7 linked regions of the Mus musculus genome follow. The main gene of each other region encodes a partner of the protein of the gene in region 7 in a complex. Links are inferred from orthologs where the notes say so. Each region holds a gene or a part of one and is shown on either strand. Other genes may lie near its edges.

Region 1 (3,500 bases), about 530 kb from region 7:
ACCACCGCCCGGCACAGTTAATCTTGATAAAAGGAGCAATGGGCCTGATTAGTGTAGAGGCTCAAATAGTTCACATGCACACACCCGCCTCTGTGCTTCAGGTTGAAATTAGGACACATGCTAGGCCGGCACTGACCACCGAAGTGCATCTTCAGTCCAGCAGAGTCACGTCTCCACCCTTGCCTAGCAGGCGTGGGGCTGAGCTTCATCCCCAGGACTCCCTGACCCCATACAAGACAAGACCGTCATTCTGGGTGATTCTTTTGCCCACTAGTGGCCAGTTGAACTTCATTTAGTTTTGGAAAGGAACAGCATAAAGACAAGGCAGGATGCCTTTGGGTACTCGAAACCCTCTCATTCGGCTTATACGCATGCCACTTGCACTGAGTCTGATGGAAGCAGCGATAAGGACAGCACATGTTACTGTGGGCCTTTTAATGAGCTGAGGAAACCTCTTGAAGGGAAGGGGTTGGGGACCTCACGCTGTGGCAGTTTAAGCATCAGTGCTTGCCCCTCCCAAGTAGATGACTTGTCTCAACGTCCTGTGTCTTCCTTCTTTCTAGATGGTGTCCTGCTCCTCTGTGCTCACCGCCATCAGTAAGGTATGACTGTGGCTCTCAGGAGCTGTGGGAGGGGGCAAATAAGGCTACCAGCCTGGCCACTCAGGTCATGTGTCCCCTGAGGCTGGATAGGCAACACCTGATGCCCCCCGCCCAGGAAGGAGGTCCTGGAAATTAGGAACACATTTCCATGTGGCAAGTCTGTGGCCCAGGGCTTGGGGAGGAGAGGTAGCAGAGCTTGTGAGAGGTAGTGCTGAGCCCCCTCCATTGCTCGCTGTTCTTTCTGCAGTTTGATGACTTTTCCCGGGACCTGTGTGTCCAGGCTCTGCTGGATATCATGGACATGTTCTGTGACCGACTCAGGTGAGAGATGGATGTGGAAGCTCAGAGCATTGCATCATCCTTTCAGTGCCGAGGAAAGCCCAGAGTCTAGGGGACGGACTGAGACCAGCTCTGGGTCCCAGGCTGCTTCTGTCTGCCTGCCTTCCCACCTCCAGCTTCTGTTTCCTTAAGACAAAGTGCCTCTTCTCTATTTGGAAGAGCTACTCTAAGATCTCGTCTAGTGGAAGCTGGCTAGACTAGGTGTCTTACCTAGGATTCTGCCAACTTTCCAACTCTGTCCCCTAGTAGTGTTGTGCCAGAGACTCTGGGGGAACATTGGTGTGGGTTGGATTTCAGCTTTTGGAATAGATACAAATTTTCATCCTTTTTGGGTAGTTGCCACGGCAAAGCAGAGGAATGCATCGGGTTGTGCCGAGCGCTCCTTAGCGCCCTCCACTGGCTGCTTCGATGTACAGCAGCTTCTGCGGAGCGACTCCAGGAAGGGCTGGAGGCTGGCACTCCGGCCCCCGGGGAGAAGCAGCTTGCCTTGTGCTTGCAGTGCCTGGAGAAGACCCTCAGCAGCACCAAGAACCGAGCCCTGCTACACATCGCCAAACTAGAGGAGGCCTGTATGTCCCCTGACTCCCCCACACCCTGCCTGCTGCTGCTTCTGTAGCTGGTCCTTTGATTGAGAGGGGAGAGGCAGGATGCCATCCCACTTCTTTCTAGAAGGATCCGAAATCATCCCACTTCCTTTTTTCTCTCCCCATAAGCATTGCATACATCCCAGGGACTTGGGCAGGGTGGCACCCGAGCCAATCAACCAACAGGTATTTACTGAGCCTTCTCGTGTGTCCAGCACTGTGCCAGGTGCTGGAGGGGGGGATGGGGGCTTCCAAAGGAGCATGTGGCAGGGTCCCTGCCCTCAGCAAGCTTACACACTGGTGGGGAGTAAGATTGGAATGCCATGCGCCTGGAGAAATTGGAGGACAAGACAGGCACGTCGTCTGCTCTTGTCTGTCTTCATGTTGCTCGCCTAGAAGCAGATGACTCAGGTGTGACCCGGAACTTCAGTTAAACTCAGTGCCTGTCAGCCATGACTGGATGCTGTTCTCTCTTAACTCAAGTTCTGTTAAGCATTGGCACCTTACAGATTTATAGGAGGGAAGTCTTCATGAGTCCTGAGCCCCAGCAGCTAGGGCCACCTAAGGGTTCTCCATTGACAGGAATGCTAAAATAGGTGACACCCATGTCTTCAGGGCTCAGTGGGAGAGGTTGTTAGGGGATTAGTCTCTCTGGGAAAAGTCCAGAAAGAGACCGATCACTGTGTCAGAATGGGCTGCTCGGACAGCTTTTCTTCATCTGCTTTCTTGTTAGTGTTGGCAGTGCCTTGCCTTCCTGGGCACTTGATAAATGTTTATTGGTAGAAAAGTAGATGAATACTTCATTTTGATGGATCTCAGGTCTCAGTTGTCTTTCTCTTGTCCCTGTGCTACATGGAGGTTAATTGGCTAACTGGTGCCGTCATTCATCATTTGACCCTTTGGGCTTGTAACTAGGATAAGTGACTAGTAATTAAATACTAAGTATGTGCTGTAGACCGTGAGTGCGGCCATTTAAGAGAGTGTCCAGTGGGCTCCACCAGCTGGGTAAGCTATTCAAAGAGCAGAAACTCAAAAGCTGTGTTGGCAAGGTATTTGGAGCTAGAGTAGAAGTGACTGTCCCCGCTTGGCCACTGGATGCTGTACCCACCCCTGTGCCTTGCTCCCATTGCTTGTGTGTCTCGAGTCAGTTGTGTGTAGTCACTGGAAGTCAGGCCCTTGGTATGGTTGCTAGGGGGGTCTTTGTTCCCGGTGCCTACTCCCCTTACCCTACCCTCAGGACTCTGCCTCCTCGTCCTCAGAGGTTCCTTGCTGGATGCTTTCACGGTCCAGGGAGCGCCACGGTCGGGGAGTGTGGACCACGCCCTGCCTCTCCTTCCCAGCAGTTTCTGCCTTGCTTTTTCTCCACCAGCCTCCTGGACTGCCATAGAGCATTCTCTTCTAAAACTTGGGGAGATCCTGGCCAATCTCAGCAACCCCCAGCTCCGGAGCCAAGCTGAGCGTTGCGGCACACTCATCAGGAGGTTAGGTTTCTGCCGGAGATGGGAAGATGGGCTCCATGGTCTGTGTGTGTGTGTGTGTGTGTGTGTGTGTGTGTGTGTGTGTCCCGCTGTCTCCTCAGTTCCCAACACGTCCCCAATGGTGTCTCTCTTCAGCATCCCCAGCATGCTGTCCGTGCACTCCGAGCAACTGCACAAGACCGGCTTCCCCACCATCCACGCACTCATCTTGCTTGAGGGCACCATGAACCTGACCGGGGAGATGCAGCCCCTGGTGGAGCAGCTGATGATGGTGAAGCGCATGCAGGTAGGCGTGGCCAAGCAGGGTGGGTGGCCACTTGGGCTAAGAGGGAGTAGGCTGGTACTTAAGAGGAATAGCTCTTTTTTTTTTTTCTGAGACAGTGTTTCTCTGTGTAGCCTTGGCTGTCCTAGAACTCACTTTGTAGACCAGGGTGGCCTCAAACTCAGAGATCCACCTGCCTCTGCCTCCCAAGTGCTGGGATTAAAGGCGTGAGCTC
Region 2 (3,080 bases), on a different chromosome or scaffold from region 7:
AAAGCCTGCCTGCTTCAACAGCTCTCCCCTCCCTACCCACCCCTCACATATGGGTCTCCATTGAAGCTGTGTCCTGGGTCTGGAGTCTCCTTCTTCCAGAGGTCGCAAAATGGTGGTCTAATGGCCTCATGAGACTCACAGCAGATTTTGTTTGGTCCTCAGTGTGTGTAGTGGTTTGGGTTTGAAGGCCACCAGGCAGGGCACGCACTCTCCAGGTTCGCCACAGTCCCTAGCACCCCCACATCTCAGAGCCACGGGCACACATTGGCTGCATGGCCACACCACCACCTCACCTTCATAGCTTCAGCTGCACCTTGGTCCCCTATGCCTCTTTTACTTTCTGAGAATCACCCAGGGGAGGGGCCTCGTGGGACAAGAGGACTCCTAGTCCCTCCCAGCCAGGCCCCAGGGCAGGGGCAGATGTGAACCAGCTAGCAGGGGCCAGGCTGTCACACAAGTGGGTGGAATAGGCAGGGAGAAGGAAAGCCCACGGCCAGAAAGATAATCAAATTGGATCTTTACTGAGCTATGGTGAACGCATGGAATACAACACAAACACGGATGATACTAGAGTTCATACTTTAAATTCAAAATTGAAAAAATACAAATTGAAAAATAGAAATATTTAGTTATTAAAATTTCTCTCTTGTAATTTTCTTGTGCCTTTTGAGCGGAAGGTTGACACCTGCCCTTCTTCACCCAGATGTCGGTGCTGGCATTGGCTGGGACAGAGACGGCAGGTGAAATGTCAACCTTAATCCTTAAAATGGAGTTTTTGATTTAGGTATGTAACGGAAAACAATGACTGTCACAAGCGTGGGCAGCCACTCAGGACACTGCTGGGCAGAGGCAAAGGAACCTTGCCATCTTGCAGAATTGCAAGCACCCTGTCGCACTGCCAACTCGGACCGGGGTCTGCGTTCACATCATCGTAAGGGCGAGCTAGCCAGTGTTAGCTCAGGTTCAAGTAGAGTATGGCCCTCAGGGGACTTGGTCTTGGGTCTCACAGTGTGGGTGACTGGTCCTGGCCGCCTCTCATTTCCAGAAACAAGCTGCACCAAAGGCAGGCAGTCCCACTGTTCCTCGCAAAGGCATGCGCCTGCCAGGACCACACCACAGTCATATACATTCAGGAGCTGTTCGTGAATATCCCTTCTGAGACAGATTCAGTGTTCACAAGGGTGGGAACTTCAACCAAAAGTTTCTAACTGTCCTCCAGGGAACCAGGGCACGGCTCTGCACACTTTGAAATGAACCAAACATACCAGTTCAGATTTCCTGCATGTCCTGGTCTCAGGCAATTGGCTCAGTTCAAGTACAGGAATGGCAGAGTCGAGGAAGGCGTCATGGTGTTTCTTTGAGCATCTCAATTCCTGGTTACTGAGACTAGGACCTGACCTGGGTCCTTGCAAACAGTGCCACTTGGGATCGAGGTATGGAACAGCCCCCATGATGGACAGCCTGGTCACCATGATGGGACTGTAGTTGTGCTTATGAATTCTGATGTGTTTGCATGCACAGGAGCAAGTCACTTCAAAGTCAGGGGCTGGCTTGGTGCCACCTCACAGACTGCCTCGGTTGCATGGATATTGCCGCCACCACCACCAATAAATAAAGCTAGCCATGTGCTCAGAGTTTCTGTGTGGATCCGGAAGGCCTCACTCTTGTGTGCTTCAGCCTGCAGACGCTTGTCAGGCTCACAGGACAGCCTTGATGACAGCTCTTCAGAACACGGGAGTTCTTTCCACTGCACTGCATGGCTATTCCTGGCTCTCCAGCGCCTCGCTGGCTCTCAGGGCCCTTTTCAGTTCCTGCAGGAGTGTGTCGCGGCTCTGCGCTGTGTACTGATCGTAGCTCTTACTGTGCTGGGACTCATAGTGGCGCTTCAGGTTGTACTCTTTCAGCACTGACACGTTTTTTTTGCATATTAAGCACGTAGGCATGCTCTTCACTTCCACAAAGAAATAGTCTCGCTCCCACTTTTCTCGAAACACGCGGCCCTCTCCTTCTCTCTTTCGTTTGGCCACTTTTGAAGGAGACATGGGTACAAGAAAGATTTCACTTTTCTCTGAATGCTACCACACAACCACCATGGTGCCAGCCCCGTGACTGAGGCAGGGCCCCTGCCTCACCGTGGAAGAGCAAGAGAGAGTGGTGGGGACTGTGGCGAACCCAAGAGCATGAGCCCCACTGACGGGGCTACGACTGCCAGGCAGAAGGGCGGGTCCAGTGTCAGTCTCTGACACATCGAGAGGAACAGACTGCACACTGTGTGAGCCTCACTGGAGCGTTACAGCTAACGGGAGGACAAAGTGCCATGCTGACACAGGGAAGGCCAAACAAAACCCATCTGTGGTGGCCCATGGGCCACTAGATTGCAGCCTCTCTCCTGGTATGGGTGGGTCACCTGCACATTAACCGACGTCCCACACCCAGGCAGTGGTGGTCCAGGCACAGACCACACTCAGGACAACATGTGCCTGTGTGACAAACATCTCACTCCATCTCCAGGGGGAAGCCCTGCACACAAGCCTGGGGGTACTCTGCGAGACAGGAGCTACCCAACTCACCCACACTCAACTGAACCCAGTGCTGGGGACATCCTGACTTCCTGGTGTGGCATGTGTCACCTAGACACTCCCATGACCTTGCCTCTTGCTTGCCCTGCTCCTACAATCCATCACACCTTCCTGACACCCGCCCCGTTAGCAGTCTATGCAGTCCTGCATGCCCAGGACAAATGTCCAGCTCCCCAGTCTGGACTCTCCGGCTCTGGCTCCTTCCTGAACGCTCACGCTCCAGGAGTGTCCACCTGCTGGCCCTGCTGGCCCTGCGCTGTGGCTTTGGCTATCTACACCTAGGTCCTTCTGGCTCCCAATTTCTGCTTCTCCTTCCAGGCTCCTCGGAACCCTGGCTGGGTCAGAGGCATTCTGGGCTCTAACCCCTTGAGTGCACATGAGCTGTACACTTCCTGCCCACCTGCTCCAAGTCTCCCAGAACCAGGCCCACCATGCTGCCTCCAACTCATCCCAGGGCCCAGCATCACCCAGCCGGGGCCTTGGGGAGTCTGCAAGGCGAGA
Region 3 (3,962 bases), on a different chromosome or scaffold from region 7:
TACCTGGGCCCTGAGCAATCACGGAAACAGTGCAAATGTCCAGGGACCCTTCAATACCACAGCAAGAAATGGAGGACAGTGCTCCAGGCTGATTCTACAAAGAGATTCTGCAAAGCCAGCCCCTGGCACATATACCTAGTTGTTTTTGTGGGTGGTCACTGACAGTGCATTTTGGGAAACACTTCCCTCCTCACTCAGAGACAAGTTCTCAACTCCATCCACCACAATAAGGTCTCCCTTTGAGATATACACTCCAAGCAACTTACCCACAGGCCAAAGAGCATAGTAATACTTATGACCAAGGGAAAATTCAAGAAACTAATGTTTGGGCCAGGCATGGTGGCATATACCTTTAATTCCAGCATTTGGGAGGTAGAAGCAGACAGATTCTCTGTGAGACTACACTGGTTTACATACATAGTGACTTCCAGTGACTGTCTCAGAAAAAAACAAAACAAAAACCTAAAATTTGGGCTGTCTACCTTCCTTCTTTTACCCACAAAGGGTCTTCTAGTCAGACCTTACCTAACACTTGGACCCACCTGATCTATAGCATCATGATTACCTGTCAAAGCGCTTGCTGGTCCCAACACTCTCACATACAAGCAGTCAGGATCTCTGATAAGATCTCAAGCAAAGGAGTTACACAGGAGTTAAAATTTCCACTGTGGAAGAGATGAGCAGTGGTGGTGCAATCGTTTAATCTGGAAGAAGAGGCAGGAGAATCTCTGAGGCCAACCTAGTCTAAAGAGCAAGTTCAAGGATAGTCAAAGCTACATAGAAGAGGAATCCTTCTTGAAAAACAACATCAAAAAATTATACTGTGTACACTATGGCTTCAGCAAAGATGCAAAAGCCATCAAGGCTATGTTTTCCTATCTCTTGTTTTTACCTTTTAATATCCTAATATATCAATCATGTGATTACAGTCAGTAATACCAATCACTGGCAAACAAAACAACAACAAAAAACCCAACAAAACCTTAAACCAAAAAAAGAAAAAAGAAAAAAATTTAAAAAGGCTTTCTAGAAGATTTTTATCTAGCCTGTCCCTATTCTACCTCGAGAAAATGTCTACAGTATTTACTAAATTACTATCAAGGTGATCTTAAAGACCAAGAAGAAAATAATTTTGGATCCAGCAAGCAGATCTCATAGAAACTAGAGCACCTCTATTTCTACCAAGACCACACAAACAATGTGAATTATTCTGAACACACCACAATACAGTGTACATTGTACATTGCTAAGAGTAACTGGTCAAGCATAGTCAAGGGAACTCAAAAGACTCAAACCTCGGTTACCTGTCCAAGCCCAAGATGATTTTTCTTCCATCCCGAGCATATTAAAAAGTGATCTCAAAGGCCACTTCCTGGTCTCCCAGCAAACACCTCATATCTGAATGCCTGTGCATCTTCCCATGGCCCTGCTCCTAACAGCAACAAGGATACCCGCCCCCTACACTGCCAACAAACCTTTGGGAAAAATACAAGAACAGGTGAAATTAGTCTATGCTCACACAGGAAGAAAAAGATGTCCCTCTGCTCACAGGACTCTTAGCAGAGGAAAGTGTGACATAAAGTAACCCCTTACAATTAAATCTTGACAGGCTAGGGCCCAAAGCACCTCAGGAGGGGCAAGAGAGAGATGGAAAGAGGACCGGAAGGTAGGAATAAGAGAACAATCAACTATGACGGGCAGTAACTCAGTACCAAAATCCCATGCTTTAGCTTCTGGTCAGATGCGCAATGGAGCATTTAGGCCAAGAAAGATGACAGGAAGGATCCCACTCTCTGCAGGGTCGTCTTTTCTAGAAAGACCCCAGGAAAGGTTTGTCCACTATCAGAAAAAAGAGGAGACTCTCCAGGCATCACAGGTAGACAGACTGGGGGCAGAACGGGCCTAGGGTTCCCTCCTAGCCAAGAAGGAGGTTCAGCCAGGAGACCGAAGGGGAGTAAAGGCCAAGACTCCGGAGACGCGGGCTACTCTAGTCATCGCGGAGACACTAGTTGCTTCCCACCTTGCCCCCGGCAGGGAGACCTTCCCGGGGGGTTCTCAGTTCCCAGGGTTGAGGTGAGGCAAGGAGGCACGGTGGGGACCACCAAGGGCGGTCGGGCTGGGACAACGGAGAAGAACTAGCTCTGATCAAAGCTCCAAACGCTCCCTCAGTCCAGGCCGCGTGAAGCCTCGGCCTCAGGTACCCTCAGCTGCCGGGCAATCCGCCTTGCCTGCGGTCCCCGGACCCAGGAGAAAGAGAGACCGAGATGGCAGTGGCTGTGGCGGGCAGATCACCGCCTGGAGAGAGCCCCTAGCCGGGGGCGCGTCGGAGGGGGAGGGTCTCGACACATGCGGCCTCGGTCCCCGATCGCGAGGCAGTCACTTACGTTGCTCTGGGAGTCGATGGCCTGTAGCAGCCGGTCCCTCATCTGCTGCGGAGACGCCGGAGCCGCTGTCATTGCCTGGGCGAAGCGGGGGGGAGCGGCCGGGCCGGCGGGCGGGCAGGCTGAGGAGGGGGAACGCGGGTCAGTCACTCGCCGGCCTCCGGGAACGGAGCCGCATGTTCCCCGCGGCGCCGGAGGAGGTCAAGGCGCTCGGGGAGATGGCGAGGACGGAGGGAAGCGGAGGGGACCGGAGCTCAGGCCCCGGACCACCGCCGCCACCGCCGAGCGAGGAGGAGGAGCCGACGGAGGAGCCTCCGCCACCACCGCCGCCGCCGCCTCGAGAACCAAACTCCAGTGAGCTGCCCCCCGCGCTGAGCACTCTGGGTAACCCGCGCCGCACGCAGCGTCGGCGCCACGCTGAGGAGGTTGGGAGATGGGGCGGGTGGAGACGCCGGGTTTGGGAGGGTCCGGCTCGTGAGCCCCTCCTATTGATTGTGCGCACGCGCGCGCAGGCGCAATTAGCAGGTCCTGCCGCCTGGTTCCGAGGTCCGACACAGAGGGCCGTTGGGAGGCAGTTGGGCGTGGCAACGGACGCTATCTGAAGGCCACGCCCACTCGGGACTGGAGGGATGGGCTTCCTAACGGAAGCGCACCCTTCAAGTCCTGGAACACCGACTCTATCTTCTGACTGCTTTGGGGTTGCGGAATGGAAAGACCCTCCCCCGGATGAGGGCCTCCTGCGTTTAGAAACCAGAGGATTGGAGCGGCCATAGGTAATCTGAGGAAGGCAGCGGTTCCCTGCGTTTAGACTCGTGCCTCGAGGAGCTCGGAGGAGCTCCGCACAGCCTTCTCCGCTGCAGAGGCCCCAGGCGCGGGTCTGCAGGGCAGTGCGTGTCCCCATGTGACCCGCGTGCTGCGGGGACCTAAGGTCACGTCTGGGAGCTGCCACCTCTGCAGAGGACGCAAGTCTGCAAGGCCTGCGCGACGCTGACACCTCGGGTCTGCATCCGTGCGGGGCTGGAACTCAAGAGGAAGCACCGCTTTTGTCGCCTTCCTAGAGGCGGGGGGGGGGCGGGGGGGGCTGGAGGTGGCCAGCCTGTGTCTGAACAGCAGGATGCGGAACCGTCGCCCAGCATCTTCCCCTTGGCGTTCCGAGGGGACGGAGCGACCCCGCCTTTGCATCTCAGGTGATGGAAAACAGGAACGCCTCACGGGGGAGGAAGGGAAGCACCAAGGTCACCTGGAGTTTTAAGTCAAACCAAGAAACGAAGGAAGTCAAGTATAAAGGCTGCGGTCCTCCGTCCTTCGGTGACCCCTACAACTGGACAGATGGAGGGCGGGCTCCGAGTTTAGTGCACTATACGAAAGTGGCCTCGGGAGAAATAACTTCGTGTAGTGTTGTAACCTTAAAAATCCAGACATGAAACGGAAGGGAAACAGGTAATGAAAACCACATGTACTTCTGAGAGCTGCTCAACACCTGTTAATTTTAAATTTGTCATACTTCGGGGGGGGGGTACTGGGGGAGGTGAGGAACCAGGCATTTAATTCCAACGCTTGGGAGGCAGGAGGCTCACTGGA
Region 4 (3,969 bases), on a different chromosome or scaffold from region 7:
CATCCTCAACTATGTAAGGGAGTTTGAGGCCAGTTTGTACTACATGAAAAACAAAAATTTTTTTAAACTGTAAATTATCAGAAATGTATTCTTCAAGATTCAAGTTGTAACCTTGTTGCTTAAATTTGTTTGTTTTTGGGGCATGATGGATCTCAGCATAAGAGAGGCAGAGACAGAGGCACTCAGATCTGTCAGTTTGAGGCCATCCTGGAGTATGTGGACAGTTCTAGGCCAGCCAGAGTTACATAAGATTCTGCCTCAAAAGAAGCAAAACTAAAAAGCATTGCATTTAAGTAATTTGAGAATATAAGTTCACACCATTCACAAACTAAACATATGTTCTCACTAGTCCTAACCCCTGAAGCCTCATTTAGTATTTCCAATCAATAAACATTTCTATTGTTTTGCTGTCATTATTTCAATGTAAAATTCTGAATTGTCATTGAAAAGCTAACCTGGTTGGCTTTCTAAGTTGCAGTGTTCTATTTAGCAGCACTGTCATAAGAAAGAAAAATATAAATGAAGCTTACTCAATACAGCAGCTAGTGTTCTGTCTTGTAAATTCATTCAAGACCCATTATTAATCTGTTCAAAAATATTTATTGAAAAACCAACTCCATGACAAGTACTGTATATATTATAGAAATGAACATGGAGTTTCCAGATGGCAGAACAAATGTTAATATTGCTCTGTGTTCCAATCTACTTTAGCTCTTAAGAGCTGAAAACAATCCACTGTAACTCCCTAGCCACATATGGGGTTTGTTTGCATCATCTAAAAGTCTCTTGAGTTTATGACATCTTTCTAAGCTCCTAGAATAGTTCTTTGTAAACACATTCCCTGTAGACACAGTAGGCATACATATTAACTCAATTATCAGTACTCCTAAGACTATATCGTATCCTTAACATCCTAACTATAGGACCTACATGAATATGCATACTTAGGAGATGAGCTTCTACACAGCATTATTAAGATTTGTAAAACCAAAAAAATTTAAATTAAAACAAGAAAGACTTGTAAAATTACAAAAGTATTTTCTTGGGAGAGGTTGGCTGGCAGCCCAGGGAATCTTTGCAAAACAGAATGTACCTTGGTGACTTCATCAACATTTAAGAGATAGCCCCTCAACTTTAAAACTACTTTATTTACACAGAATAGACTAGTCTTCCCACTAGTAGATACACAATTTCAATGTACTCTCAAAAATGATGAATTACCAAGAAGCCTTGTTATAACATTCCTGTTTAAAAAACACTGTCCAGAGAACTAGGTATTTAGATTTTTTTTTTCAGCAGGCATATACTGTGTAGGCTCTTCTACATCAAACTACAACCAGAATGACACTAAGAGATTTTAATTACCAATGGAAAACTGTTGCACTATTTTTGTTGTTGTTGTTTTGGTTTGGTTTTTTTTTTTCGAGACAGGGTTTCTCTGTGTAGCCCTGGCTCTCCTGGAACTCACTCTGTAGACCAGGTGGCCTTGAATTCAGAAATCCGCCTGCCTCTGCCTCCCAAGTGCTGGGATTACAGGAATTAAAGATGTGGGTCACCATTCCAGGCTCAGTATTTAGTTTTCCATTCATGTACAATTAAGCCAGAATAACAGCCAGAGGCGACAAAGTTAGAGAAGCTAGCAGTTTTCAGGAGCTTTTGTTGTAGATTTTGATTACTGGGCTGTTTTTTTTTTTTGTTTTTAACGCCAATCTGGTCTCCACAGTGTGCAGGTCAGCCAGAGCTACACAGTGAGACCATCTCAAAACAAAACAAAAATCCCTCTTGTGTACATTCACTGTTCTGTGGTACTGTGCTGTAAGAGCTTCACTCCACCTATAAGAGCCTCTTAGGGAAGATCGTAAAGCAGACTTAAACAAATGCAAAGAAACGGAGAGGCCAGGATCTGGCCTCTTCTAGACGTTACTCTCCAACCATTGGTGCTGGAGTCGCCAAGAGCGGAGGGAGGAGTGAAGGCCTACAGAAAGCAAGGCAAGCTCACGCCCTGGTCACTCATACACCAACCTACAAACACTCAACACTTTGTTGTGGTCTTTTGTGTTTTGTTTTCTGAGATGGGCTATCAAACTGGAGCTCAGGCTGGCCCGGAGCTCGCTGCAATCCTCCTGTCTCAGCCTCAGAGGTGGAATCACAGGAGAAATCCGTTTGGCAGGTTGAAATTGAAACGCGAGGGAGGGATACACACAAAAGTGCTTAGGCGTGTGCTGCCCCACAAAGGAAGTTCTAGAAGCATCCCTGGAACTTGAGTACTCGCTTCCTGGCTACCTGGCCGCAGACCTTGAGTCTCCTCAGGAGAGGCCGTCGTCGGGTCCCCTCCTTATTAGCGGCCACTCGTTCCCTTCCTCAAGTTCGCACCTCACCAGAGGCCCCGGGTCCCATGGCTCTCAGGAGAGACTGGCAGGTCCCACATCCTCTCAGGAGAGACCCCCGGGTCCCACCTCCCTTAGGAGAGACTGGCGGCTCCGACCTCCCCTCAGGACAGGCCCCCGGGTCCCGCCTCCCCTCAGGACAAGCCGCCCGGCCCGGTCTCCCCTCAGGACAGGCCCGTCTCCTCAGACCCCGCCCTGTGGACTACGTGAGACCCAGGCCTCACGGGGTGCGCCGCCCGCGGCGACCTCAATCTGCGCGCTCCCCGGGGCCTTGCCTCGCCCCTTCCTCCTCTCTCCGCGTCAGGAAAGCAAGGCTGGCGAGCAGAGGAAAGCCCTCACCGAGTTCACAGCGTCCTGCAGCTGAGTGAGTCTATCCGCCATGTTCACCACGCACGCAAGGGTGCGCAAAAGCTGCTAGAGCGCGAGCGATTGGCCAATTTATGACGCCTCCGGACCAATCACAGGCCTTCCTCCTTGAGGGGCGTGGTTAAGGAAGCATGCTGCCGGGGAGGGGCGGGGCCAGCCTGCGGGCCTGCTGACGTCAGGCGGGTGGGATCCAGGGCTGGTGTGGGGGAGGAGGGACGCGTGCAGGCTGAGCTGCTACGGGTTCGCGTTTACGCTGGACCGAGCCTGTGAAGGGAAGGTGCTTCCTCCATTCTGTCTGTTAGCTCTGACGAGGCTATGCCTCACGGTGTAGTCCTGGCTGGCCTGGAATGTGTTTTGTTTGTGAGGGGTTTTGTTTTTGTTCGTTCGTTTCTTTGTTTTGTTTATCTGGAACACTTGTTTTCCTTTGCTTTTACTTTGCAGGTATACCACAAAGCATACTCGCAGCCCGCCATTCACAACATTTAAATTCGAGAAATTAACATTCTCCAGGAAATCAAAATGGCTAGAAAAGGGTGGCTAATTAGTTTGGGGCAGGAGGTGCTTACCCAACTGGAGACTAGATTAGTGCTTTAATTCTGAGTGGGAGTGCCTGGGGGAAATGGAAAGCATTAAACAGCTCTGTGATGAGGAACGGGTGATAAGTAAAGTGAAAAGGAGGAAGAAGAGCATTTGAAGGTAGGAGGTGCAAACTCTGTAGACCAGGCTGGCCTCGAACGCAGAAATCTGCCTGCCTCTGCCTTCCAAGTGCTGGGATTAAAGGTGTGCGCCACCACGCCCGGTCTAGGCAGGTTCGATCTTAAGAAAGATCAGCTTCAGAATGTAAATTTAGAACTGGGGCTTCCTGACAGTTTTCCGTGTGAAGGGTGATAGCAGAAAGGTCATTTCTGTTAGCCTGGGGATATTCTGATGGGAAGTGAGTCCTGAATCTGCAAATACCTGGTTTGTGGAACTCAGACAAACTGTTTATCATAGTTTCCAAGATGATCATTTCTGGAGTTGGAGGTGGGTGGGTATGTGAGCCTGTTTTTTGTTGCTACAACTGAATAGCACAGACAAGCAATTACAAAGAACGTTTACTCCCTACAGTGTTCTGGAGGCTGGGAAGTCCACTATCAAGGTGGACTGTCATCGTGAGAGAGCCTTCTTGGTGAATCCTAACAGAGGAGGACATAACAGATGAGGAGGTTGGGAGGTA
Region 5 (3,500 bases), about 12 Mb from region 7:
ATTTAGGTATTAAATTTGTATTCATCCTACAAGAGCAATGTGAGCAGTATGGGTTGGTTCACCATCTAAGTTTGTAAATAAAATCTTTGTGTCATGTGGCCATCTCCATGTTTTCAAACACTGTCTCTGCCTGCTTTTGTCCTGCAAAGTCAGAACTGAATAGATGTGGCAAAGACTGTGGTTTCAGACTTAAGTATGCACTGTCTGACTGTCCATAGAAAGTCTGCTAGCTCTGTATATGGGAATGCTATCAAGTAGTCATTATTGGTTCCAAAATATTCTCTGCTGCTTCTGTGGAGTCTGATGTTTCCTGCCATTGATCCCAGCATTCCGGAGGCAGAGTCAGGATCTCTGTGAGTTTGAGGCCAGTGTGGCCTCAAGACAACAGGGCTACACACATAGTAAGACCCTGTCTTTAAAAACATTTTTTTTTGATTTGTTAATAACTTACATACAAATATTTTCTAAGTAACCTTCTGCAACACCAAAAAAAGTCTTATTGTAGCTAATCCTATGGCTGTTATTTAAATCTTTTTGTTATACTCTTAAATATCAGTGAACTTCTTTTACACTTAATCCAAAGAGATGCAATACCAAATTACTGAACCTAATTAGACATTTCTGAAAATTGAACCTCATGATAATATCCCTCCATTTTGTATTTTAGTTAGCTATCAATCTAGACAGTATTTCTTCAACTTGTGATTTAACAATAGTTGTAGTGGTTTGATGAAAAATTGCTACATACTTATACACATTTGTTGATGTATTCTAATTTTTTCTTACACTTATTACTTGTGTCGGGATATATGCCACTGTGAACCAGTGGAAATCAGGACTACTTGGCAAGGTTGGTTTTCTCTTTCCGCCTTGTGGTTTCTGGGGGTCAACTTAATCACCGAGCTATCTTGTTAGCTTTTGTTTACATTTAATTTTGCCTAAGAAATAGAATTTTCTTACATTTCATACTGACTATTTAAAATTTGAATGAAAATATGGGTTTATTTTTATAATTAATTTAAAACATTTTTTCTTTTTTTTAAAGTTTCTGGGAGGGAGTAGGAAGTTAGTTCGTGCTGCACTGTTAGTATAAAGCAGTTAAGGGAAGATAATCGCCATAAAAGTGTCAGCTACATTGTTATTTCTATAGAAGAATAAAAATAAGTCAGTGAAATCAAGAATTAAATACCCGTTTTTGTTCTTTAGGTCCATATCTTGCTTCTCAGCCGTTGGACAGCTCTCTGCTCTCCCAGCCAAATTTAGTTGCCCCTCCAAATCAGTCTTTGGTTACTGCACCTCAGATGACAAATACTGGAAACGCTAATGCTCCATCTGCCACCTTAGCATCTGCGGCAAGTAGCACTATGACAATGACTTCAGGTGTTCCCATATCTACTTCAGTTGCCACAGCTAATTCAACTTTGACCACAACTTCATCTTCATCATCTTCCAGTCTGAGTAGTGGAGTATCATCAAATAAACTGCCTTCGTTTCCACCCTTTGGCAGTATGAACACTAGTGGTACAGGATCCATGTCTGCACAAGCAAGTACGGTTCAGAGTGGCCAGCTAGGAGGACAGCAGTCGTCATCTCTGCAGGCAGCAGGAATATCAGGGGAGTCAGCTTCTCTTCCCACTCAGCCACATCCTGATGTGTCTGAAAGGTACCGTTAAATATTAGGATACTTGGGGTTGAAAGATAGTTAAGTAGTATGTAGCATATGTGTTTAGCATGCTTGAAGCCTTATGTACAATGAATGAATAAGTATAAAAAAATTAAGTTTGTGGAAATACAGAATCTATCGACTCTTTATCTAAGTAAACAGTGACCTTACTGTGGAATTTAGTTTAATCATGGTAATTATTTTACGTATGAAGTTATAATAAAGATTGTTTTTAAATTTTTCATCATAGAATCACAGGGTTGGTGTTTAGATCTTAAAAATTATTCAACTCCAGATAGTCCTATGATTGAGTCTGGCTGTGTCATAAGCAGATGTAATTGTTTATGCATATTACACAACTGGTTGCAAAATCTCTGTGTGCCTGCCTCTGTGTGCGTGTGTGGGGTGTGCGTGTGTATATCTGCGTGCATGTGCTAGAGTCTCACTGGAGCTGGCACGTGCGAGGCATGCAGCCTTTCACTGTGCTACGTACGCTTCAGCTCTGCTTGGGAGGCTTTAGACTCTGAATCCCAGCTCTGTCCTTGACTCACTTTGTGATAAGGAGAAGGTCTAACATTGTTAGCATTGCATCCATATCTGTAGTATGGAAGCAGTTCTACACGCTGCACAGCAATTGTGCTAATGGTAATGGATCTCATTGTTTTTATATAAAAGTCCTGGGGAAATTCCCTTATCAGACAGTCTGATGCTCATTGTTTCTCTGCTTCCTAGAATGCAGTTGTTTACAAATTCACGCTCATAAATATGAGGTAAAAGTAGACTATTATCTGAACAGAAAAACCTGGCTTCTGTCTGGACTAGCTCTGTTTCTAGGCAGGCTGCTGAGCATGACCAGTTACTGAGATGCCTGTCAGAGAGACCTTTAGTCTCTTACTGTTAAGCTGCTTGAGAATTCTTTCTTTTAAATGCACAAAGCCTCTTATTTGAAGGGATTTCATATGGTGTGAAGTGTAAGTATCCTGATTATCAGAGAGGTTTTCTGATGCCTTGCCCCAATAAAAGAGGGATGTAAGGATTCACTTTGGTGCTGTACCAGGCAGACATAATACAACATTGTTCTCTTTCTACTTCAATTTTTAGCACAATGGATCGTGATAAAGTGGGGATTCCCACAGATGGTGATTCACATGCAATTACCTACCCTCCTGCAATTGTTGTTTATATAATCGATCCTTTTACATATGAAAATAAAGACGAGAGCACTAACTCTTCTAATGTATGGACTTTGGGGCTCCTTCGATGCTTCTTGGAAATGGTCCAAACTCTTCCTCCTCATATCAAGAGCACTGTTTCTGTGCAGGTAAGGATTTCTTCATGTTTCAGAGTTTCACAGTTGTTTTTCTCTGTTCAAAATAATTTTGTTAAAAGACAGGTTATATTGATTTCACTTAAATATTATAATAGGAGTTTTAAGAGAGTTTATAAAAGATAAACTTTATAGTTCTGGGGGCTAATTAGATGGCTTAGCAGTGAAGTGCTTGCTGCTCTTCCAGAGGATCCAGGATTAGTTCTTTCCACTCATATCTGGTGGCTCATAGCTGTCTGTAATATCAGCAACTTTCTGTGGGTACTGTTATATACATGGAATACCCACATAGAGACAGACACATGAAATCTTTAAAAACCTTGATTGTCATTCTACAATCATGAGAAATACAATTATATTGGCTGTAGGTGGTGTGTTTCTAACTAATTCCATGAAGCTGAGGCAGTAGGATCAGAAGTTGCAGGCTAGCATCAGTACATAGTTCCAGACTAGCCTGGGCTATGTAATAAGATGTTTGTTAACCTCCTAACACCACCTCCTCCTCCAACC
Region 6 (3,500 bases), on a different chromosome or scaffold from region 7:
AGGAGAGAAGAATCCAAAAAGCAATATTTTTCATCACATGCCAAAAATGGGATAGAGAGAAGGAGTGGCAGGCCTAGGCCCCTCCGAGTGTCCCTTGGGGTTTACCCCTTAGCCCATCTCAATATGGTGCTGGGTAGAGGGGGTAGCTGGGTTCTAACCTTTAAACAGGGAAGACTCCAGCCTCTATACAGAGACCCTTTAATTTTTTTATTCTGATTAGCCATTTTAAACCAACAAGGAATAAAATAAATCCTGATCTAACCAGTCCCCCCTGACTTGTGTTTTGTCTGGTTAAGGCAGGGTGAATGGTCTTAGGGAGTCAAAAGAGAAACCTCATTCTCTGGTTCTGTTTTTATTCTGGCTATCCAATTAAATGCCCTGCTGGGTGAGAAAAACCTAGCTTTTCATAACAAATACATCCTCTCTGTTGAATCTCTTGCTATTCCTTTGTTTCCTTTTGAAAGTAAAAACAGCTAAGCATGGTGGTGTATGCCTTTGATCCCAGAACTTGGTGGGTAGAGGCAGATGGGTCTCTCAAGCTTGGGGCCAGCCTAGTGTTCATAGCCAGCCAAGGTTGCATAGTGTGATGTGTCAAAAACAACAACAACAAAAAACAACCTACAAAAACCAAACCAAAACTTTTTTCAAAACAACCAAATCCAGCATTAAGCTTCTTGCCAGAGGTTCATTTAAAAAGTATGTAGGGGGGAAAAAAAAAGTCAAGAGAGGGAAAGGAAAAGATAAAACTTGCCTAGTGTTCACAAGTCTTAGGGGTCAGGCTCCAGAAAAAGGTGGGAGCATAATGAGACAAATACTAATTGGCTTTTCCTGCTAAAATATATCCGTGATTGTGGCTCACCAGTTCCCTGTGGTATATAAACACAGGTATAAACCTTATTTGGGCCAGCTTTCCAGGTGAAAGGTGAAGATCATCCATGCACTCTGCTCTGAGCATAATCAGCGAGTATTTTGTGTCTATGGTAGGAAAATAGTAGCAAGTTACTGTTTTCAGACCATGTTCTCTATTCGCATTTTGATTTTCCAGTTCCAGCCTGCTAAGGAAATAATGTGATGGCAAGATCCAAAATCTCTTGCATCTTAATGCCTTGTCCTAAACTTTGATTCAAATAGAATGGCACTTGCCTCTTAAAAGGCAGCCATACCGGTCAGTTTGTTAAACACGCTTTAAAACAAAACATTGAAGTCCTAGGATCAAATTGCACAAAAGAGGGAAAAAAAAGAAAAACAGATTCTTGTAAAAAGGAATCCATGAAAATGCCAATTGGACATAACCATAAAAAAGCATGGTCCTTCCCTAAAGTGTATTAGTCACATGCACAGCAGGGGCTGGCCCCTCTCCAGCTGTTGGATGCCCCCACAACAGGGTCCAACTGCCTGGAAGACAAGTTTTTATCAGCAGGTTCAGTATCACAGGAAAGCCATCCTTGGCCAAGTCCAGTAGTCCTATTAGCGGAGGCTGCTGCTGCTGCTGGCTTGAGAGCTGCCCATACCTGGGTGGTCTGGACTATGTCGGTTCTGGAGAAAACAAAGAAAAGAGTAAGAACATTCAAAAACTAAAAGATGGACCTAACTGGATGTCGTGGTGCATGCCTTTAATTCTAGCACTCTGGAGATAGAAGAGAGTAGATCTCTGAGATAGAAACCAGCCTGGTCTACACAAGTGAGTTCCAGGCCAGCCAAGACTATATCTTGAAACCTTGTCACAAAACAACAAAAAATCTAAATAAATAATACAAAATGAGCCTGCTAGCATAAACTTATCTCATTTACCTGGGAAATAGAAGCAGAAGCACTACAAACAAAGTCCAAGACCTGCCTAGAACAACCCAGTGAAACACTATCTCAATAAGGGGCTGGAGAGATGGCTCAGTGGTTATAGGCATATACTGTCTTGTAGAAAACCTGAGTTCAGTTCCCAGCACCATCATAGCTGTGACTTCAGCTCCAGGGCTTAAGCCCTTTTCTGGCCTCAGGATACTGCACTCATGTAGGGAAGCACATGTATTCATAACTACAAAAATAAATAAAAATATAAATGAAATGAAATAAAAGGTGACACAGGGAAAACTTGAGTCCCAACCACAACAGCCCCTACCTTCTTCTTCTTCTTTTCTTTCTTCTTCCTTTTTCGTTCAGGATCCTCCTCTTTCTTCTTTTTCTTCTTCTTGTGATCTGAATCAGATGGTGTTTCTGTAGGAAGCATTAAGAGTCTATAACCTGTTGAGCTTAAGATCTACTGCTATAGGGCTGGAGAGATGGCTCAGTGGTTAAGAGCACTGACTGCTATTCCAGGGTTCAAATCCCAGCAACCACATGGTGGCTCACAACCATCTGTAATGGAATCCAATGCCTTCTTCTGGTGTGTCAGAAGACAGCTACAGTGTACTTACATATAATAAATAAATCTTAACAACAACAAAAGATCTACTGCTATAAAGTCTTAAGGCTACAGGAAAATCTAACTCTAGAAATCCTAACTACTACTTTTCTCATATGTCCAGAAAAGATATAGAGGTGACGCTAGAGCACCTGTGCTAAGTCAAGTCACTACTTGCCCAAGAAATGTCATTAAATGAGTTTCTTCTTGGGGAAAATGGTGGTCCAGAGTAAGCATAACTGGAAAGGCCAGGCCATACCTGAGCCAGTGTCTCCATCATAAGAGCATAAGAGGTGCTCCTTACCTGGGGGAACAGGATCCTGGGTGCGGCTCTGTTTGTGCTTATGCTTATTCTTCTTCTTGGGTGGCTGAATATGCATCAGACGACACTGCTCTGGCAACTGAGGGAACAAAGGAAGGTCCAGGTGAGTAGAGAAAATCCTCTCTCCCATCATCTGTTCTCAGTAAATTATGAAAGAACAGATTTGGACAGAAAAGAAAGCTACCTCATGCCTTTCAGGCTATTTGCTTTCTTACTCCCCAAAAAGAGACTCACCGGGCCAGTGTGGAGGCGGAAACCAGACAGCATGGTCCCTGTGATTGGATTAAAAGAGCCACCAAGAATAGGAGGCTTCTCAATGAGGGATCGGAGGCTGCTGTTGTCATGAGAGCCAGGGAGATCAATCATCCCTGGCAGGTCAGGCAGGAAGTTACTTAGCTTCTCCTTCACTTTCTTCCCACAGAACTTATTATAGGCCTGCTCCAGGTTGTAGTGTGTGATTAAATTGGTGCTGCCCGTCAGCTCTGTGCTGCCTAGAAAACAGTAATAATGAGATTATACCAAAAGCAGATAACTTTCTGTTAGTAACTCAGAAGGAAATTGAAAAAGAAAACAATCTTTAGATTTACTTAATATGCATGTTTGTTTTGTCTGCATGTTACGCATGTGTACCATGTATGTCTGATGCCTGCAGAGGTCAGAAGAGAGGGTTGGATCCCTAGAACTGGAGTTAAGGAAGGTTGTGAGCTGCCTTAGGAACTGACCTGGCTCTTTTGCATATCCTGTTGAGCTGTCTCTCCAGCCCCAGGAAGGACTATATTT
Region 7 (3,982 bases):
ACAATGCCCAATGCATCCTTTAAAGAGCACTAGCTGCTCTTTCAGAAGTTCTGGGTTCAAGTCCCAGCACCCACATGGCAGCTCACAGTCACATGCAACTCCAGTCCCAGGAGATCTGCTCTCCTCTTCTGGGTTCTAAGGACACCAGGCATGTACTTGGTACACAGAAATACAGGGAGATAAAACCACCATACACATGAAATACATATTCTTTATTTCAAAAAAAAATATGTTGGGTATGCATTTTTTTGGGTTTTTTTGGGGGAAGGGTTGCTGTTATTGTTTTGATTTTTTGACTCATGGATGTGTGGCATGTCTGTGCAGTGCTCATGGAGGCCAGAAGACACCGAGACTCCTGAAACTAAAGTTACAAATGCTTGTGAGTTGCTACGTGGACATGTGTTTCCTGGGAACCAAACCTGAACCTATGCCAAAAGCACAGGGCTCTTAAACCCTCAGCTCGATCTCCAGCCACCTCCCTGCTTTTTTTCTTCCATTTTGAGACAGTCTCTCACAGCCCAGCTGACCATGACCTTGAGGGCTGACAAGATGGCTACAAGAGTAGAGGCACCCGCAATGCCAAACATGAGAGTCTGGGTTCACGCCCCAGAGCCCACAGTGGATATGGTAGATGCCCTACCTCCTAGTAAAGAAATGTAAGTGGTGACCTCCTCATACTCCTACCTCTACCTATGAAGTGCTAGGATTATAAACATGGGTCACCTCCCAGGCTTGCCCAGACTATGCTCTAAGGCATCCTCTTGTCTCCTTTCATCAGCCTCCTATGGGTGTGTGCCGCTATGAGGTACGGCTGAGACAGAGCTTCCCTGGCTGTCTTGTCTCTTTGTAGGTCTGGCTGGCTTCAAACTCAGGGATCCACCTGCCTCTTTCTACTAAGTGCTAGGACTAAGGCAGGAACCATCACCAGTTGGCTCTTTGCGTGTTAGTTTTTAAGACAGGGTTTCTCACTGGACCCTTGGGCTCACAACACCTTGAAGGATATACTTGGAGCACAATTTAAGGAAGACGTTATTATAATTAGGGGTTTTAGGGCTGGAGAGATGGCTCAGAGGTTAAGAGCACTAACTGCTCTTCTGAAGGTCCTGAGTTCAATTCCCAGCAACCACATGGTGGCTCACAACCATCCATAATGAGATCTGACACCCTCTTCTGGAGTGTCTGAAGACAACTACAGTGTACTTACATATATAATAAATAAAATCTTTAAAAAAAAAATAATTAGGGGTTTTTTTTGTTTTGTTTTGTTTTGGTTTTTGGAGACAGGGTTTCTCTGCGTAGCCCTGGCTGTCCTGGAACTCACGCTGTAGACCAGGCTGGCCTCGAACTCAGAAACCGCCTGCCTCTGCCTCCCAGGTGCTGGGATTAAAGCTGTGGGCCACCACACCTGGCTCCCTTTTTCCTTTTCTTTTGGTGCTGGGAATTGAACCCATGGACAAGAAGACATTACTCTAACCACTGCTCTACATTCCCAGCCTCTAAATTATCTTTAAATTAACATACAAAGCAATGCATATCATTTTGGCATTCTTATACATATAGGCCATTATACTTGGTCCAAGTCCTCTCCCTCTGAGAGCCACACTGCCCCAACCTCCAAACAGCCAAACCTCTCACTTCATTTCATATTCCACTAACCTTTCTATCCTGCAGACCTCCTTTGTTCCCACATGGTCCCATGTTTTCACAACCAACACACACCAACACATACCTACGTCGAGATTCCTCATAAGAGAAAATGTGCTATTTATCTTAATATGGCTTATTTTGAGTATCGTCCACTTTGCTACAAATGTCGAGACTTCATTTTTGGATAAGCCAGTCCAGGTCGTGGGAGGGAGTATCTGAACCAAGAATCAAACTCTTAGCTGGCCGAGAGGTGTGTAAGCCCGCACTTGGGAGGCTGAGGCAGGGGGACCTTGTCTCAAGAAACAAAGAAGATTCTATCCCTTCCCTTTTCTTCCCTCAACTGGGAAACTGGTTTGGGGATTGTTCCTGCCAGTTTATAGTTCTGAACACCTCTCCCCCAAGCTTTAAAGCCACCGGTCGTGCACAACTGAAAGCAGTTCGTAAAGACACAGCACAGTATTTGAACACTATGACCTTCCAAGTAATAAACGGCCCGCTTTTACTATGATGAAGATCGAACCAAGCAAGTCACTCCGGCTAAAACACCCTCCATTACTTTGACATTACATTGTTCTAGTGTCATCTTCAGCGATCTCTCCTGGAACAAAGCATCAACAAGTTTCAGTTTCCCTCTCCTTGGGTCCCACCGGGCTAAGCTCAAAGTACCCTGAGGCTCAACTTCCTCGTCCCTCGTCCCGCAGAAAACCTTTCACGAGTGGAGGAGACGGGGGAGCAGCGCCCCGGAGGAGGCGCTCCAGCATCTGTAGGGCTCGGTCGGGATCTAAGATGCACATTCCACCAGGATCCGGTCCCACGCACGGTGGCCCTGGAGGGGCGTGGGTCCCCACCTCCTCTCTCGGATTGGCTCGCCGCAGCGGTGTACCGCCCCTCCTTCCCCGCCACCCCCCAGTCACTCACCCTCGGTTTCCCCCTGAGCCTTCATCCTGACAGCGGGGAGGTCTTGGGTCCGCCACGAGCCGGGGAGCCTTTCCCCGCCACTCAGAGGGGAACCAAGTTAGCCTGGGCTCCGGGGAAGCGGCGCACCAGCGGCCCCGACTCTTCCGGGGAAGGCTCAGTCTGAAGTCCCCGGCGGCAAGAAGAGAAGGGTGCTCGCGGCCGCCGCCATCTTCCCCAACGGAACTTCCCAAAGATCGCGAGATTAATCGTGTTCCTGTGAGACGGAGGAAGAAGGAACCGCACCAAAGTCTCGCGGAGGTTGGCTGATTTCGTCCTCCCCGCAGGATCTCTAGCAGGCCCGGCTCCGATTGGCTCAGAATTCACACCTTGGCGTCTAAGGGTGTGTGCCCAGAGTTGACATCTCTCTGAAAGTTTATGTTTGCATCCCGACAGTTACACAATTTGTAAATTAAAAGCGTTAGCTCTTCCGTCCCGCGGTGGTGGCGGCTCAAGCCTTTGATCCCAGCAGACAGGCGGAACTCTGAGTTCGAGGCCAGCCTGGTCTACAGTGTGAGTTCCAGGACAGCCATGGCTACACAGAGAAACCCTGTCTCAAACGAAACAAAATGTTTGCTCTTTGAGCACCTGGAAAAGTGGCACACTCCTATAATCCCAATGAGGAAGGGGATAGTGAAAACCGGTCCTTACAAAATAATCTCTACTGAAAGATTTCCAGTGAGTTTTAGTGTTTGGGTGTTTAGAGTTTGCCTGGTGGTGGCGCACACCTTTAATCCCAGCGCTCTGAAGGGAGAGGCAGGTAGATCTCTGAGTATGAGGGCAGCCTGGTCTACAAAGTTTCTGGACAGCCAAGGCTACAGAGAAACCTTGCCTGGACAAAAACAAAACAAAACAACAAAAAAGTAAGATTTGTAAGATGACAAGACTTGTAACTCACCAGCAACATACCTGATTAGCATGTCTGAAGTCCTGGGTTTAATTCCTAGAGAAAGTGGGAAGGTGAAATTTCCTGAAGAACCAGAAGCAGTTATGTTGTTTAAAAAAAAGAAAGAAGGGGCTGGAGAGATGGCTCAGTTAATTTAAGAGCACCGACTGCTCTTCAGGAGGTCCTGAGTTCAATTCCCAGCAACCACATGGTGGCTCACAACCATCTGTAATGAGATCTGACTCACTCTTCTGGAGTGTCTGAAGACAGGTACAGTATATATATATACACACACACACACACATACATATACACATATACACGCATACATACATATATATATAATAAATAAAAGAAAAAGAAAGGAACTAGGGAGGCAGAGGCAGGCAGATTTCTGAGTTGGAGGCCAGCCTGGTTTACAGAGTGAGTTCCAGGACAGCCAGGGCTACACAGAGAAACCCTGTCTCGAAAAACCAAAAAAAAAAAAAAAACCCA

What was found.
Region 1: the proteins of Med1 (region 7) and Med24 are in contact, whole or in part, in a cryo-EM structure (PDB 8T9D), measured with the Homo sapiens proteins. The link is inferred for Mus musculus from reciprocal best matches to the Homo sapiens genes MED1 and MED24. Residues at the interface, in NP_004765.2 of Homo sapiens: Phe375, Asn377, Gly436, Leu437, Gln439, Glu441, Ser453, Asn459, Asp460, Ser461, Leu462, Val463, Cys464, Tyr480, Lys481, Gly482, Asp485; in NP_055630.2 of Homo sapiens: Lys7, Ile10, Trp14, Lys15, Arg17, Leu47, Ala50, Met51, Ile52, Gly53, Pro54.
Region 2: Med1 (region 7) and Med25 share a complex: the UniProt entries of both Homo sapiens proteins name them as parts of the mediator complex. The link is inferred for Mus musculus from reciprocal best matches to the Homo sapiens genes MED1 and MED25.
Region 3: Med1 (region 7) and Med26 share a complex: the UniProt entries of both Homo sapiens proteins name them as parts of the mediator complex. The link is inferred for Mus musculus from reciprocal best matches to the Homo sapiens genes MED1 and MED26.
Region 4: Med1 (region 7) and Med21 share a complex: the UniProt entries of both Homo sapiens proteins name them as parts of the mediator complex. The link is inferred for Mus musculus from reciprocal best matches to the Homo sapiens genes MED1 and MED21.
Region 5: Med1 (region 7) and Med13 share a complex: the UniProt entries of both Homo sapiens proteins name them as parts of the mediator complex. The link is inferred for Mus musculus from reciprocal best matches to the Homo sapiens genes MED1 and MED13.
Region 6: Med1 (region 7) and Med19 share a complex: the UniProt entries of both Homo sapiens proteins name them as parts of the mediator complex. The link is inferred for Mus musculus from reciprocal best matches to the Homo sapiens genes MED1 and MED19.

The regions. Positions count from the first base shown.
Region 1 is NC_000077.6:98,715,920-98,719,419, reverse strand, and holds part of Med24 (mediator of RNA polymerase II transcription subunit 24), read left to right. Parts: intron 1-136; exon of another isoform or gene 137-149; intron 150-563; coding exon 564-602; intron 603-849; coding exon 850-923; intron 924-1,277; coding exon 1,278-1,510; intron 1,511-1,654; coding exon of another isoform or gene 1,655-1,711; intron 1,712-2,894; coding exon 2,895-3,006; intron 3,007-3,138; coding exon 3,139-3,289; intron 3,290-3,500. UniProt on the Homo sapiens protein: Component of the Mediator complex, a coactivator involved in the regulated transcription of nearly all RNA polymerase II-dependent genes.
Region 2 is NC_000073.6:44,876,265-44,879,344, forward strand, and holds the end of Med25 (mediator of RNA polymerase II transcription subunit 25), read right to left. Parts: exon of another isoform or gene 2,027-3,080; coding exon 1,761-2,026; 3' UTR 501-1,760; downstream 1-500. UniProt on the Homo sapiens protein: Component of the Mediator complex, a coactivator involved in the regulated transcription of nearly all RNA polymerase II-dependent genes.
Region 3 is NC_000074.6:72,545,511-72,549,472, forward strand, and holds the start of Med26 (mediator of RNA polymerase II transcription subunit 26), read right to left. Parts: upstream 2,801-3,962; 5' UTR 2,457-2,800; coding exon 2,385-2,456; intron 705-2,384; exon of another isoform or gene 566-704; intron 1-565. UniProt on the Homo sapiens protein: Component of the Mediator complex, a coactivator involved in the regulated transcription of nearly all RNA polymerase II-dependent genes.
Region 4 is NC_000072.6:146,641,410-146,645,378, reverse strand, and holds the start of Med21 (mediator of RNA polymerase II transcription subunit 21), read right to left. Parts: upstream 2,801-3,969; 5' UTR 2,769-2,800; coding exon 2,727-2,768; intron 1-2,726. UniProt on the Homo sapiens protein: Component of the Mediator complex, a coactivator involved in the regulated transcription of nearly all RNA polymerase II-dependent genes.
Region 5 is NC_000077.6:86,284,597-86,288,096, reverse strand, and holds part of Med13 (mediator of RNA polymerase II transcription subunit 13), read left to right. Parts: coding exon 1-6; intron 7-1,189; exon of another isoform or gene 1,190-1,206; coding exon 1,207-1,663; intron 1,664-2,764; coding exon 2,765-2,984; exon of another isoform or gene 2,985-3,027; intron 3,028-3,500. UniProt on the Homo sapiens protein: Component of the Mediator complex, a coactivator involved in the regulated transcription of nearly all RNA polymerase II-dependent genes.
Region 6 is NC_000068.7:84,684,902-84,688,401, reverse strand, and holds the end of Med19 (mediator of RNA polymerase II transcription subunit 19), read right to left. Parts: intron 3,212-3,500; coding exon 2,955-3,211; intron 2,800-2,954; coding exon 2,703-2,799; intron 2,212-2,702; coding exon 2,117-2,211; intron 1,537-2,116; coding exon 1,468-1,536; 3' UTR 187-1,467; downstream 1-186. UniProt on the Homo sapiens protein: Component of the Mediator complex, a coactivator involved in the regulated transcription of nearly all RNA polymerase II-dependent genes.
Region 7 is NC_000077.6:98,190,494-98,194,475, forward strand, and holds the start of Med1 (mediator of RNA polymerase II transcription subunit 1), read right to left. Parts: upstream 2,801-3,982; 5' UTR 2,591-2,800; coding exon 2,566-2,590; intron 2,414-2,565; exon of another isoform or gene 2,314-2,413; intron 1-2,313. UniProt on the Homo sapiens protein: Component of the Mediator complex, a coactivator involved in the regulated transcription of nearly all RNA polymerase II-dependent genes.